Canis lupus familiaris: one gene and its partners. Each later gene encodes a partner of the first gene's protein in a complex. Links are inferred from orthologs where the notes say so. Each region holds a gene or a part of one and is shown in the gene's direction. Other genes may lie near its edges.

The links. The genes of interacting proteins can lie anywhere in the genome.
Region 2: PPP2R1A (region 1) and STRN share a complex: the UniProt entries of both Homo sapiens proteins name them as parts of the core of STRIPAK complex. The link is inferred for Canis lupus familiaris from reciprocal best matches to the Homo sapiens genes PPP2R1A and STRN.
Region 3: PPP2R1A (region 1) and STK25 share a complex: the UniProt entries of both Homo sapiens proteins name them as parts of the core of STRIPAK complex. The link is inferred for Canis lupus familiaris from reciprocal best matches to the Homo sapiens genes PPP2R1A and STK25.

What each region holds. Positions count from the first base shown.
Region 1 is NC_049222.1:105,616,386-105,619,895, reverse strand, and holds part of PPP2R1A (serine/threonine-protein phosphatase 2A 65 kDa regulatory subunit A alpha isoform), read left to right. Parts: intron 1-1,049; coding exon 1,050-1,150; intron 1,151-3,510. UniProt on the Homo sapiens protein: The PR65 subunit of protein phosphatase 2A serves as a scaffolding molecule to coordinate the assembly of the catalytic subunit and a variable regulatory B subunit.
Region 2 is NC_049238.1:29,519,652-29,523,887, reverse strand, and holds the start of STRN (striatin), read left to right. Parts: upstream 1-1,434; 5' UTR 1,435-1,543; coding exon 1,544-1,777; intron 1,778-4,236. UniProt on the Homo sapiens protein: Calmodulin-binding scaffolding protein which is the center of the striatin-interacting phosphatase and kinase (STRIPAK) complexes.
Region 3 is NC_049246.1:51,489,564-51,493,648, reverse strand, and holds the start of STK25 (serine/threonine-protein kinase 25), read left to right. Parts: upstream 1-1,294; intron 1,295-1,530; 5' UTR 1,531-1,544; coding exon of another isoform or gene 1,545-1,616; coding exon 1,617-1,646; intron 1,647-4,085. Other genes in the region: EZH inhibitory protein-like, read right to left, coding at 1,003-1,294, 1,545-1,618. UniProt on the Homo sapiens protein: Oxidant stress-activated serine/threonine kinase that may play a role in the response to environmental stress.

The sequences.
Region 1 (3,510 bases):
AAACATCACTTCACTTTGGTTTCACACAGCTCTGTTGGGATGTAGGGTGAGAAAACAGACTCACAGGTGAAGTGAATGGCCATACACTCAGCCAAGAGAGAGCAGAGAACCACCCCAAGATGAGGAAGATGATGACAGCCCCAAGAGCTTAGAGGGTGGTGGTGAGGAAGCGACTCAGAGCTTGAACGTGTGAATAGAAGTAGCATTGACCAGAGCATGGTCACTTGGCATTCCAGCTGCAGGGGGGCCTGGGATGCCTGGCTGGGTTGCTGTATGCTTGGCTTAATCTCAGAAAGTTGAAATGCCAGCATAGAGGCCAGGGATGCTAGCGTCTTCTGCCATAGCAGTCAGCAGTTCCTACTGGAAGCATCTTCTGCCATATGGGTCAGCAGTTGAAAAAGGCCTTTGGGTTGAGCATTAGGACTCAGCAGCTCTGTCTTTACATAGTCATCCGTTCTTTTAGCACACCTGGACTGAACTACTGTGCTCATCTCTAGCAGAAACTGGGGTACAGAGAAGAGCCAGTCCTGGACTCCAAATATAAGGACTCTCATAAAGGTGACTTGGGGTTGAGGGGAGTGTAGAGAAAGGATGTGCTCTGGTCTGGTCAGGAAATCTGAACTGAGTCTAGAAGGATGGAGAATTTCTCAGGCTAAAGAGAAAAATTAATTCTTGGCATAGAGGGCAGTGCTGAAGAAAGAAGCTGAACCAAAGCGAAAAGCCCCCATTGACCAGGCTCTGTGCCTATATGCATGGTTTTGTGTGCTCCTCTGTAATTCTCCCTCAGAGAAGTGCGTGCAGGTGCAGAAGTGGGTTTGCAGACTGGTTTCACTCCCCCAGTGTCCCTCACCTAGTGAAGGGCAGAAGGCGGCCTTTGGTGCTCTGTTCCTGACCCAAGTCTGCATCTCCGATCTGTGTACCAGCTCAAGTAGAGGGTGGAGAGACTGAGTGCTTACAGAATGGAGCCTGCTTGCTCCCAGCTTGGGTTACCCAGAATCTTGGGTCAGCTTTGGGGTGGGGCTATAACAGAGTCTGTCTTGGTTCCCCAGATACCATCTACGATGAGGATGAGGTCCTCTTGGCCCTGGCGGAACAGCTGGGAACCTTCACCACGCTGGTGGGAGGCCCCGAGTACGTCCACTGCCTGCTGGTGAGTCTGGGAGGCAGGGAGGTCCCCTTGCCCACCCGTTTGGGGGTCACCTTCAAGGAACAGGCAAGCCTTGGACATTCTCTTTAATCCAGCAGATTAGTAGTGGCATTCATATAGCAATACCAAAGATGTACTTGTTTACCTTCCTGTTAGCTGGGTATGCCTGACCAGTGCCAGGCCCTACCTGGCACTGTACATATAGGGCTCTGGGTGTGGAAGCCATCTGAGTACTACCACTTCTTTGCTGTGTGACTTGTAAGAGTTACTTAACCTCTCTGTTAAACTTTACTCATCCGTAAAATGGGAGTCATTAAAACATCTTTATAATTAATTTAAGCCCCCCCAAAAAATTAATTTAAGCCGTTGGCACATGGCAAGTACCATCAGGTGTTAGCTGCCAGTGTCATTAAGCTGTATGTTTTGAAGTCATGTCCACCCTTTGGGGTAGAGACATTTCTATTTTGTAGATGAGCCACTGGGCATCTGAGAGGTTAAGTGTCTTGGTCAAGGCCTCACAGTCAGTAGCAGAGTTGGGATTCTAGGTGCCTGCCTATGCACCCCTGTGCTTGGTGATGGCTAGGGACACAAAGATGGGTCAGATATTAATAGTAACTGCTATTTGTGAGAAGAGAAAGGAGAATTCCATTGTCACCAGGGAAAGAGTCCAGTCCTGTGATCTGGGAAGGAGAAGCCTCAGGGCTTTCCCAGTCCCCTGGTTTTCATTGTTCCTCAGAGCCCGCGGCCACTGCTACAACCTGCTTCCCTCCCCTCACCCCTGCCCCAATAATTCTGTATGTCATGGTTTCTAAAGATACAGCTTTATATTTGACATCTGCGCTTAATGATGCCTTAACACTTTTCATTAGCAGCCTTCTTCCTCCTTGCATTGTGTGAAATAATGGCACTTCTTAAAATTGGAGGAATTTGGGGTTTGAGCAGATATGGTAACTTTTCTTCCAAGCAGTATTAGGTCTGAAGAAATTGGATAATTGTCATTAAATTCTAGTCTGTCAGCTTTCATCTGTGTGTGCGTGTATAATTGATGTGTATGTATACGTAGACAATTGTATGCAAATGTGATCATTTCCTACATTTTACACAGATTAGGGCTGTTTAACACAAGGAACATGATGAGGTCTGGGGACCAGCCTGAAAAGGGTCCTGTGTGTCCCATGAAACTTTCTGCAAGCCCTAACATTTATCAGTTTTTCTGAGAGAATTTGTGGCTTTCAGCAGCACCTCAAAGGACTTGGGAACAGAAAACGCTGATCCTGTAGCTTTAACAAGGGTCCCTTGGGCCCTCAGGTGGTATAAGACTCAGGCTTGCTGGGGAGCAGGACTGGAACCCTGGAGTCCTTCCCTTACAAGGTCAGGGTCATCCCACACTTACTTTGAGGGAGAGTCACAAGGCCTCTGGGGCTGGTGTTCATGATGTTCACAACAGCTGGCAGACACATCCTGAGGGCCCTGGTCCAGGGAGCACTGGAAACCCAGAGGCCAGGTCCCAGGTCCGAATGCTAGTGCTCCTTGGTACCTGTAGGTACCTTCCACACAGTCACCTGTCATGTCCCTCAGTGACCCTGTGATATACATACTCGTACCAGCCCCAGTTCACAGATGAGGAAACAGGCTCAAGGTCTGGTTTACGAGAATTGACTGAGCTGAGAAGAGACCGTCAGGATTTGAACCCAGTCCCCTGCCTCTTAACCACTGCTGCTCCTTTCTACTACCCTCCCATGGGGCTCTCAGTTGCTCTACAGGCTGATTAGAGCTGGATAAGAGAGAAGCTGGGGGACCTTAGAACCTGGAGGAAGCCCTTCACCTGTTTCAGATGGGATGGGGGAGCTGTCAGTGAAGGCTTCCTGGAGGAGGTGGCAGTGGATCTGGATTTTGACAAAGAGAAATGGAAAATGGCTACTGTGCAGTTTGTTCATTCCACAAACATGAGTACCAGCTATGGGCCTTGGGAACCCAGAGGTGTGTCAGAGCCAATCCCAGCCCTTGTTCTCAGTAGAGGTGAAATGGAGTTAATTTCATAGGGATCCATGTAGCTACAGCACAAGGATTGATTCTGTATCCACAACTTTTAACCCTTTTGGAATTGTGGATCCCTTTGAATATCTGATGAAAACTCTAGAGCCTCTCCTAAAAGTACAGTGATTTTAGGAGGTTCACACCTCCCCCCTCCCCTGTATCTTCTCTGGGTTTGAGAACTCTACCCTCTCTCCTTCATAGAGAGGCCCCCCAGTATAGCTTTTCATTGTGGGAAAGCAGTACTTGAAGTTTCCTAGACCTGCATCTTTCTGGGCCCCACACTGATTTTTTTTATTTGTGCTGAGCCTGGTCTTCTGGGTGATCCT
Region 2 (4,236 bases), on another chromosome or scaffold:
CCACAAGTAGCTATGGGAAGGGATGGGGGGAGGGGAGGACAGGAACAGGATGTCCTTCCCTGACATGTCCATAACCAGCCTAAATGTTTAATTTTTTTTTCCCCACAACCATCAGGTCTGGTCTTCCAGAAGTCCATTCCACAAAACAAAAGAATTACTAATAACTCATCATGAGGACAAGATAAGGGCTTCATTTCATTATGTGTTAAATTTTTCCAGGCGCCTTCCTTTCATTGTGTTTGCAGCGTGAACTCATCGTGACATAATTTCAGGGGCTTCGGAGGATAACACTTAACAGAGAAACCCTTGAAAGGGACTTTGGTGCACCTTTGGTGGGGCTAAGCCGGTGAACCAGGGGAGAACCTGGAACCGGGACAAGTGAAAAGGGAGAAGCGCCTGGATACCTAGGACTGTTGCAGAGAAGAGAAGGGGACTTTGTTCTCTCGGGGAGCGGGGAGCGGGGAGCGTTGATCTAAAGCACTGTGAGAATTGATCAGGTGCCTGGCAACCTCCCTTTGAACGACAGGAACCGTGTCATTGACCTCTACATCCACAGTGACAGAAATAACCGACAACCAAATATCTACTGAGTTGGACTGAGTAAGAACTGCGCGGGAAAAGGTAGGCGAAAGGAGACGGAAACAACAGCCTTGGGCAGGGGAAGCTTTCCGGGGTCAGGACTGTTGCAAGACTGCAGGAGAAGGGGACTGCGGCCGAGCAGGGCTTCAGAGGCGAGGCGCCGGCCACCCAGAATATAGAAGCTGGAAGGGGGTGGGGGGGTGCAGGAGAGAGGGGTGGTTAGAGTTCTTATTCGTGGAAACTGAGCAGGCAACAGGTCTGAACCCCCGAGAGAAAACGAAAGAGGAGCGACAGCGGTAAGCAGGCATCCAGACTCGAGGAGTGGCCGCAGCCACGGGGAGCGGAGCCCAGCTAGCGGGCGATCCCCGGTCCAGCGGCCGGACCTCCGAGCCCCGCCCCGCGCCGAGCCTGCTCCTCAGCAGAACCACCAGGAAGCCCCGAGAGATGGGCAGCTCAGCCTGGTATCTTGGCGCGACAACTTCCGTGTGTGCGTGTGTGTGTGTGTGTGCAACAGGGCGCGCCGCCTGAGAACTTCCGCGTGCGAGGAGGCGGGGGGACTGGCGAGGAAACCCGCGCGCTCCGGGCCGGCGGGCGCCCCCCCTGCCCCCCCTGCCCCCCCGCCGCGCGCAGGGGCGGACCCGGCGGACCCGGGGGGGCGGGGCTGCGGCCGCGCCCCAGCCGCGGGCAGCCCCACAGGCCGCCGCCGCCGCCGCCGCCGCCGCCGCGCTCGCCGCCGCCACGCCCCGCGACTACATTTCCCAGCAAGCCCCGGGCCTCCCGCGCGCCGCAGTTGACCCATTTCCCGGCCCGTCCCGGGCTCGGCCGGCCCCCGCGCCCAGGCGGCTGCTCCCTGCTGACTGGGGTGTGGGCGGGGAGCGGCGGAGGCAGGAGGAGGCGCTGCTGGCCGCCGCCGTTGCCTCCGCTGCTGGGCGCCTGGGCAGCTCCCGGGGTTCCTGCGGCCGCCATGGACGAGCAGGCGGGTCCCGGCGTCTTCTTCAGCAACAACCACCCGGGCGCCGGCGGTGCCAAGAGTCTCGGGCCTCTGGCGGAGGCTGCCGCGGCTGGCGACGGGGCGGCTGCGGCGGGGGCGGCGCGAGCCCAGTACAGCCTCCCCGGGATCCTGCACTTCCTGCAGCACGAGTGGGCCCGCTTCGAGGTGGAGAGAGCCCAGTGGGAGGTGGAGCGGGCGGAGCTGCAGGTAAAGACCCTCCCGGCCTGGCCCTCCTCATCCCGCCTCTTCGCTGCCTTCCGCCCCGCCCAGGACCCTTCCCCCTTCCCCCCTCCCCTCCCCCCCGCTCGTCCCCTCCCCCTTTGCCTCCCGCCCAGCCCACCCACCACCGCGCCCCTTTACCCCCTTCACCTTTGCCTTTCGCTGACCCCACTTCCTCGACCGGCGTCCCATTCCCGCCCTCGATGCGTTGTTTACCCTCCCCGCTCCTTTCCGTCTGCTCCTTCTCACTCTTAACTCCGTCTCCTTTCAACTCTCTCGCCGTCCCACATTTCAGGTCGTCCCTTTCGGTTTACTAATTGGGCTGACAGTAGTTTCTGAGAGACGTCGAGCAAATCATCCTCTGCCCCAGTGAGTCCCATCCTAGGTCTAGCGATGTTCCTTGCGAAAGGTATTGGTAGTTGGCTCCTGTCTCTGGAAAGAAGGTGATGAAGACAGCACCGAGTCGTGTCCGTGGGGCCTTGACTTGAGGCGAGGAGCTCATGTTGGGCCAAAGTATCAATAGGAATATCAGGTCCTTTTTGGATGTCTGGAAATGTTTTTCTCTCTCCTCTTCCTTACCTCCTCCCGCGTTCCTTTTAGGTATTTCAGGTTCACGGATTTCGATGGAAGGACCCAGATGATCACAGTCAGGTGATGGTTCGGGGATGGTTTCCTGTCCTCGGAATCTGAAACTTGCCAAGGGTTAATTTTATGTCCAGTGCTTAGTGAGATTGGCTTGTACCTTGAAAGGAACTAAGAGGGACTCTAAAGTTGGTTACATTTCCCTTGCATAATCTGCGAGATAAAGTATATCCAGGAAGGAGCTGTTGTGGGCTCTTAGCAGAAAGTGAGGCTGATAGTTTACTGGCCCTTCTGAATTGCTAAGTGGGTTTCAGTGGCTCGTTCTTAAAACTACCAAGGCATGCACCAATTTCACAAGGAACTTAACTGAGTAGTAGCTCTGCCTTTCTGTTTTACTGGCTAATCCTGTGTGCTTAGGAAATCTGAGTATAGTTTTGGTTGGTGAAACACTTGAAGTTAAAACGCTACCCAGTGTGTCACTTTTTTTGGTAACGTGTATTTTCTTTGGCACTTAAAAAAAAAGGAGAAATCTGTTAAATAGAATCATGTGCTGGAACAGGGTGTTTTGGCGTAGTGGAAGTGGCTGTGGAAAGAGGGAGTAGACCGACTTACAGTACCTAATCGCTGCGCTTGCTGCTAGCACTGACCTTGAGGAAATCCTTTGGCCTCTCCGAACTTGTTTCATCTTTTATTTATTCAGTACATTTATTGAGCGCCAGCTGTGTGCCTCTAGGCCCTGGTATTAACAAAACTGACAGCAACTCTGCCCTCATAGAGCTTACATTTTAGTAGGCAGGCAAAGTCAGCAAATGCAAGTGTATAATATACTGAACCTAGTGGCAACTTGGATGAGAAAAATAAATCAGGCACAGGAAATAGAGTGCGATAGGGCAGCTATTTTATTTTAGATGTGGTCGTTAAGGAAGGCCTCTGGGAGGAGTTGAATGAATCAAGGCAATGACCCATAGTTATTAAAATTTTTTCTCTTTCTTTATTTCTACAATTGTATGTTTATATTCTTTGGCAGCTTTTTTATTTCTACTGTTAGGTACTTCAGTATCTAGTCTATGATATTTGTAATTTTTCTCAAAATAAATGTGACCATAATATATAAATATTATATATTTATAAATAACAAGCAGACTTACCTGCCTTTTCTAATTTATTAGTAATTCACTTTATTAGTAATGTGTTCTGTAAATGGGCTTGTGGATTTCAGACTTCAAAAAAGTGTGAAAGGTAGGCTTTAATTTTTGACATTATTCAGGTGTGAAGAATGATTTTTGTATGTGACTGCTTAAATTTTAATTTCCAGTTTAGGGAAGGTGAGTCACACTAATTCGGTCAAAAGCAAGATAATTCTTCTTACTTGTAGAGGTTTGGGAATTTCCAGCTCCTCTCACCCCTTGTCAGATCTCCCAGTGCTCCTCATCCACTCCTCCATTTTAACTTTTCAGTTTACCTGTGGTATTAATTGTAGTCACTCTTCAGTTTTATTTTTTCTTTAAGATTTTATTTATTTATTTATTTATTCACGAGAGACACAGAAAGAGAGGCTGAGACACAGCAGCGGGGAGAGAAGCAGGCTGCATGCAAGGAGCCCTATCCCCGGACTCGATCCCCGGAATCCAGGATCAGGCCCTGGGCCAAAGGCAGACGCTCAACCGTTGAGCCACCCAGGCATCCCTACTCTTCAGTTTTAAACACACACACACAGGCATGTGGGCACGCTACTTCCCGGGTTATTTATGGCAAATGTTAAAGTTCAAGTAGGTTTCCCATTGGTGCTCATCACCTTGAAGGCACTACATTTTTACAGTATATTTGGTTTGCGCTCAGGTTAACTTAAGCATCTGTGGAGGAAC
Region 3 (4,085 bases), on another chromosome or scaffold:
GGGCAGAGTCTCCAGCAGGCTCCCTGCTGAGCGCGGCTCCATCCCGCTGACACCAAGGCCTGAGCTGGGGCCAACAGTCGGTCGCTCAACCCACGGAGGCCCCAGGTGCCCCAGCATAGAGTTTTTGTTTTTTATTCTTATTTTTTAAAGAGTTTATTTATTCGTGAGAGAGAGAGGGGGAGAGGCAGGCCCCGTGCAGGGAGCCCGACGTGGGGCTCGATCCGGTCTCCGGGTCACACCGGGGCTGAAGGCGGCGCTGAACGCTGGGCCCCCCGGGCTGCATGGTTTTGAAGGCTCGTGTTGTAACGCGTGTCAGAACTCAGTTCCTTTTCTGTTTCATCGCATTTCGCGTAACTTACAACACGCAAACGATTACCCGCGTCAGCAGTTCTGAGGACTGAGCGCCCGGCGTCCAGGGCCCTCGCCTCGCGGAGAAGCCGCGGCGCCGATCGCTGACCCCCAGGCCCGGTGCCCGCCCCCGCCCCGGTCCCGGCTCCCTGCAAAGCCGACCCCGCGGGGCTTCCCCACCTGCGCCGTGGCGTCGCCCGCCCTGTCCGCTGGTCTCCCCCAGCCCGTCCCCAGGCCGTCCCGCGGCTCCAGGCCACAGGGTCCCTCCTTCCCCAGGCTGGTGCTCCCCGGCCTGCGCGCAGCACCGCTCGCTCCTCGCTCCTCCATCAGCCGCCGCGGAGATGCCCGGGCCGCGCGGCCGGGCAGGGCCTGGGAACAGGCGGCACCTCCCAAGGCGGCGGAGGGGACGGAAGGGAGGAGGGGGGTCGGGTGGGGGTCGCGGGGCGGGGGGAGGGGAGGGGCCGCGGGAGGACGCTCGGCCGGGGGCCGCCCCAACCCCGGGCTGCACGCCCCGCCCCGGCCCCGCCCCGGCCCCGCCCGCCCCCGGCCCCGCCCCGCCCCGCGGCCTGCTGGGAGACGTGGTCCGCGGCCGCTCAGGAAGCCCGACTCCGAGTCCCGGCGAGCCCCGCGACACCGCCCTGCCGCGAGGCTTACCGGGACTTGTAGTCCAGCGCCCGCGGGCACCGGGACGCGCGGCGAGCGGCGGAACTCGGTGTCCCAGAGACCCCCGCGCTGGGCCACGACGTCGCGCGCCCTCTCGCCGTCGCCGCCGCTGGGCTTTCTCCGGCCGCCGCCGTCACTGCCGCTGCTCCGGGGCTGGAGGGCCCGGGCGTCCCCGGGCGCGAGGAGGCTGCGGGTGGGAGCCTTCGCGGGCGCTGAGGAGCGGGCCGGGGGAGGCCGGGATGGAGCCCCCCGGAGGTGGGCGCGCTGCCGGGTGGGCCCGCGCCTGGGGCGGTTGGGCGGGGGCCGGGCGGTGGTCGGCGGCGGGGCGGGCGGCGGGGGCCGGGGGCGAGCGGGGGGCGCCGGGGCCGGGGCGGGGCTCGCGGGGGGCGGGGCCGGGGTCGGGGCGGGGGGCGGGGCCTGCCGGGGGCTCGCGGGGGGCGGCGGGGTCGGGGCGGGGTCGGGGCCGGGGTCGGGTCGGGGCGGGGCGTGGGCGTGGGCGTGAGCGCGCGGTCCTTGCAGCGGCCTAGGCGGGCGGCCGGGCTCCGGAGCGGCGGGCGGGGTCTCGGGCCGCCGGAGGCCGCGGACGGTCGGAGGGCGTCGCGGACATGGCTCACCTGCGGGGATTCGCCAACCAGGTAGGAGGCCGGGCCGGGCCGGGCGGGGCGGGCGGGGCGGGCGGGGCCGGGCGCGCCCCGGAGGACGGCGGCTCGCGGGGCCGGGCGAGGCGGGTCCTGCCTGTGCCCGAGCCGCCCCCCGGCCTGGAGCCGCGCCTCCACCTGCTCCCGGTGCCGGTGCCGCGAGCTGCGACGCCCCGGGAAGGACACCCGCCGCCCGCGCCGCCGGCCCCGAGCAGACGCGCCCGTTTGGAAAAGAATCATCGGGTTGAAGGAGACGAGCTCGCTTCCGTGGCGGCCGCTCCCCGCCTGGGCCGCGGCGACCCGCTGCCCTGCCCCGTGACCAGAAGCGCGGCCGGCCCTGCCCGCAGCCCGGGGCCGCCCGGAACCAAGCACCGCGTCTTGCCGAAGCGGACAAGCTCTCCTAGCCCGAGAGGAAAGAGGGCCGCTGGCGGAGGCGCTCCCGGGCCCCAGAAGCAGCCGTCGGGGCGAGGGGTCTCTGTGCCCGGGCTGACCGCGGTGGGCGGCCGGGCCACCCCTGCTGCGGGGCGCAGGGCTGGGGGCGCGGGGCAGGGCCCCAAGGGGGAAGCCGTCGTCCTTTAGAGGCCAGCACACGTGGCCTTTGTCCGGGGCGGGAAGCCTGATTTTCTCAAGACACTTGTGCTGTGACCCCGTGGGGCGCCCCTGCCTAGCCCGAGGGTCCCCGCCAGCTGGTTCCCGCCCTGCCTGCTGCCTGGTGGTGGGAGTGGCCTCGCTCCCTTCATCTTGTGGGGCCACAGACCTGGCCTGCTGCAGGGCTGGGGGACAAGGGTCTCAAGTCTCAGGTCACTCAAGCCTTGAGGGATCGTCCAGACCGTGTGCTGTGCGTGGCCTAGAAAAGCAGCCGAGACGCAGGAGCTACGCACCTTCAGCCAGGGGGCTGGAGCGGGTGGTCCCTGTGATGTGCTTGTGCTATCGGGCCTCGGGGCGAGGGTTGGGGTCGAGGCCTGGAGCTGCGGCTCAGGGCTCCGCGTGTGCTCCCCCGGGCCAGGGGGGTCCAAGCGCCCCGTGTGGGGTCTCCCTGGTTGGGCTGTCGTGGTGAACCGACCCAGCTCTGGGCCCTCCTGGACAGTGACATAGTGTCCTCAGCAGGGCTGACGGGAGCAGAGGCACGGGACGCGTCGCCCACGGAGGCCTGAGGGTGCAGAGGGGACCCCAAGGCACAGCGGTGCTGACTGGTGCTGCCAGGTTTTCTTAGGACAGAGAACACAGCGCCACGGCACCAGCTGGACCACAATCCCTGGGCAGCCCCCACGCCCACGCCTGGGGCGCTGAACACATGGGCCCAGGTGGCCAGGTCCCCTGTGACGTCCAGGACTGAGCAGGGGATCGCGAGCTTCCCCCCAGAGGCGGAGGGCGCTCTCCCGGCAGACGGCCTTTTCCTGCTGCCCAGGAGTTGCTGGCAGACCCCAGCCAGGCCTCTGAGGTCGGGGTGGGTGCTAATCGTGGGATCCACGTCCCCGTCCGCACACTGCAGACAGCCAAGCAGCTGTGACTCACGGCCACGTGCCTAAGTGGCCTTGGGTTTCTCCAGAGCGTGTGCAGCAGGAACAGGTGCGTGGTGGGTGGTCCCCACGCCCGCTCCGGGCTGGTCTCGGCTCTGCTGAGGACAGAAGACAGCGCCTCACCGGCCCGGCGGGAGGCCCGCACGTCCATCGGCCCTGCCCCGAAGGCTGTGCTGCAGCACAGCCCACGGCCCGTGACCCGGAGTCCCAGCCGGGAGTCCCCGCCCCCGGCTCCCGCAGGTGCCCGGCGCGGGCGGCCCTCAGTCCTCTGCCTGGAGCTCAGCCGCAGTGGGGAAGGGGCCGTGCGTGCCGCGTGGGCCTGCGCACCGTGGGCGAGGCCGCTGGAGTCCCCGAGCTCTGGCTGGCGGGGAGCCGAGGGGGCTCGTGTGCGTGGAGGACCCTCCTCGGCGCTGTGGGCACCCAGCAACCCCGGGCGGGCCTTCCCTCACAGGGCCCACGGCAGTCGGGGCCGATGGGGCTCGGGGAGCTGGATTTGATTCCTTTTCACGCGTGGCTGCTTTAGACGCCCTCCTGTGACAGGCGCGTGGGCTGTGGGAGCAGGGCCTTCTGGCGGAGGCGCCTCCTGCGGGATGGGAGTCGCGGAGCCTCAGGAAGGCCCTTCTGCCCCCGTCTGGGCAGGACGCCAGGCCCCAGCCTCGGCTCCCACACTCGGCCCCGGGCCTCGGCCCTGCGGGGCTGGGGGCTCCCGGGGACCCCGTGGGTTGCCTCAGGGCCAGTAGTGGCCTGCGCCCTGGAGCCCGGGGCATCAGCGCCCCTCTCGGAGACCCCGTGGAGCTCTGTTCCCCGTGTCCCGGTGCCCAGGCCGCAGGGTGCTCGCTGGGCCTCAGTTTCCATCTGAGGCCCGAGTGCGGTAGTCTCCCGAGATCCAGGGTTAAGCACCCGGAAAGCCTTGGTT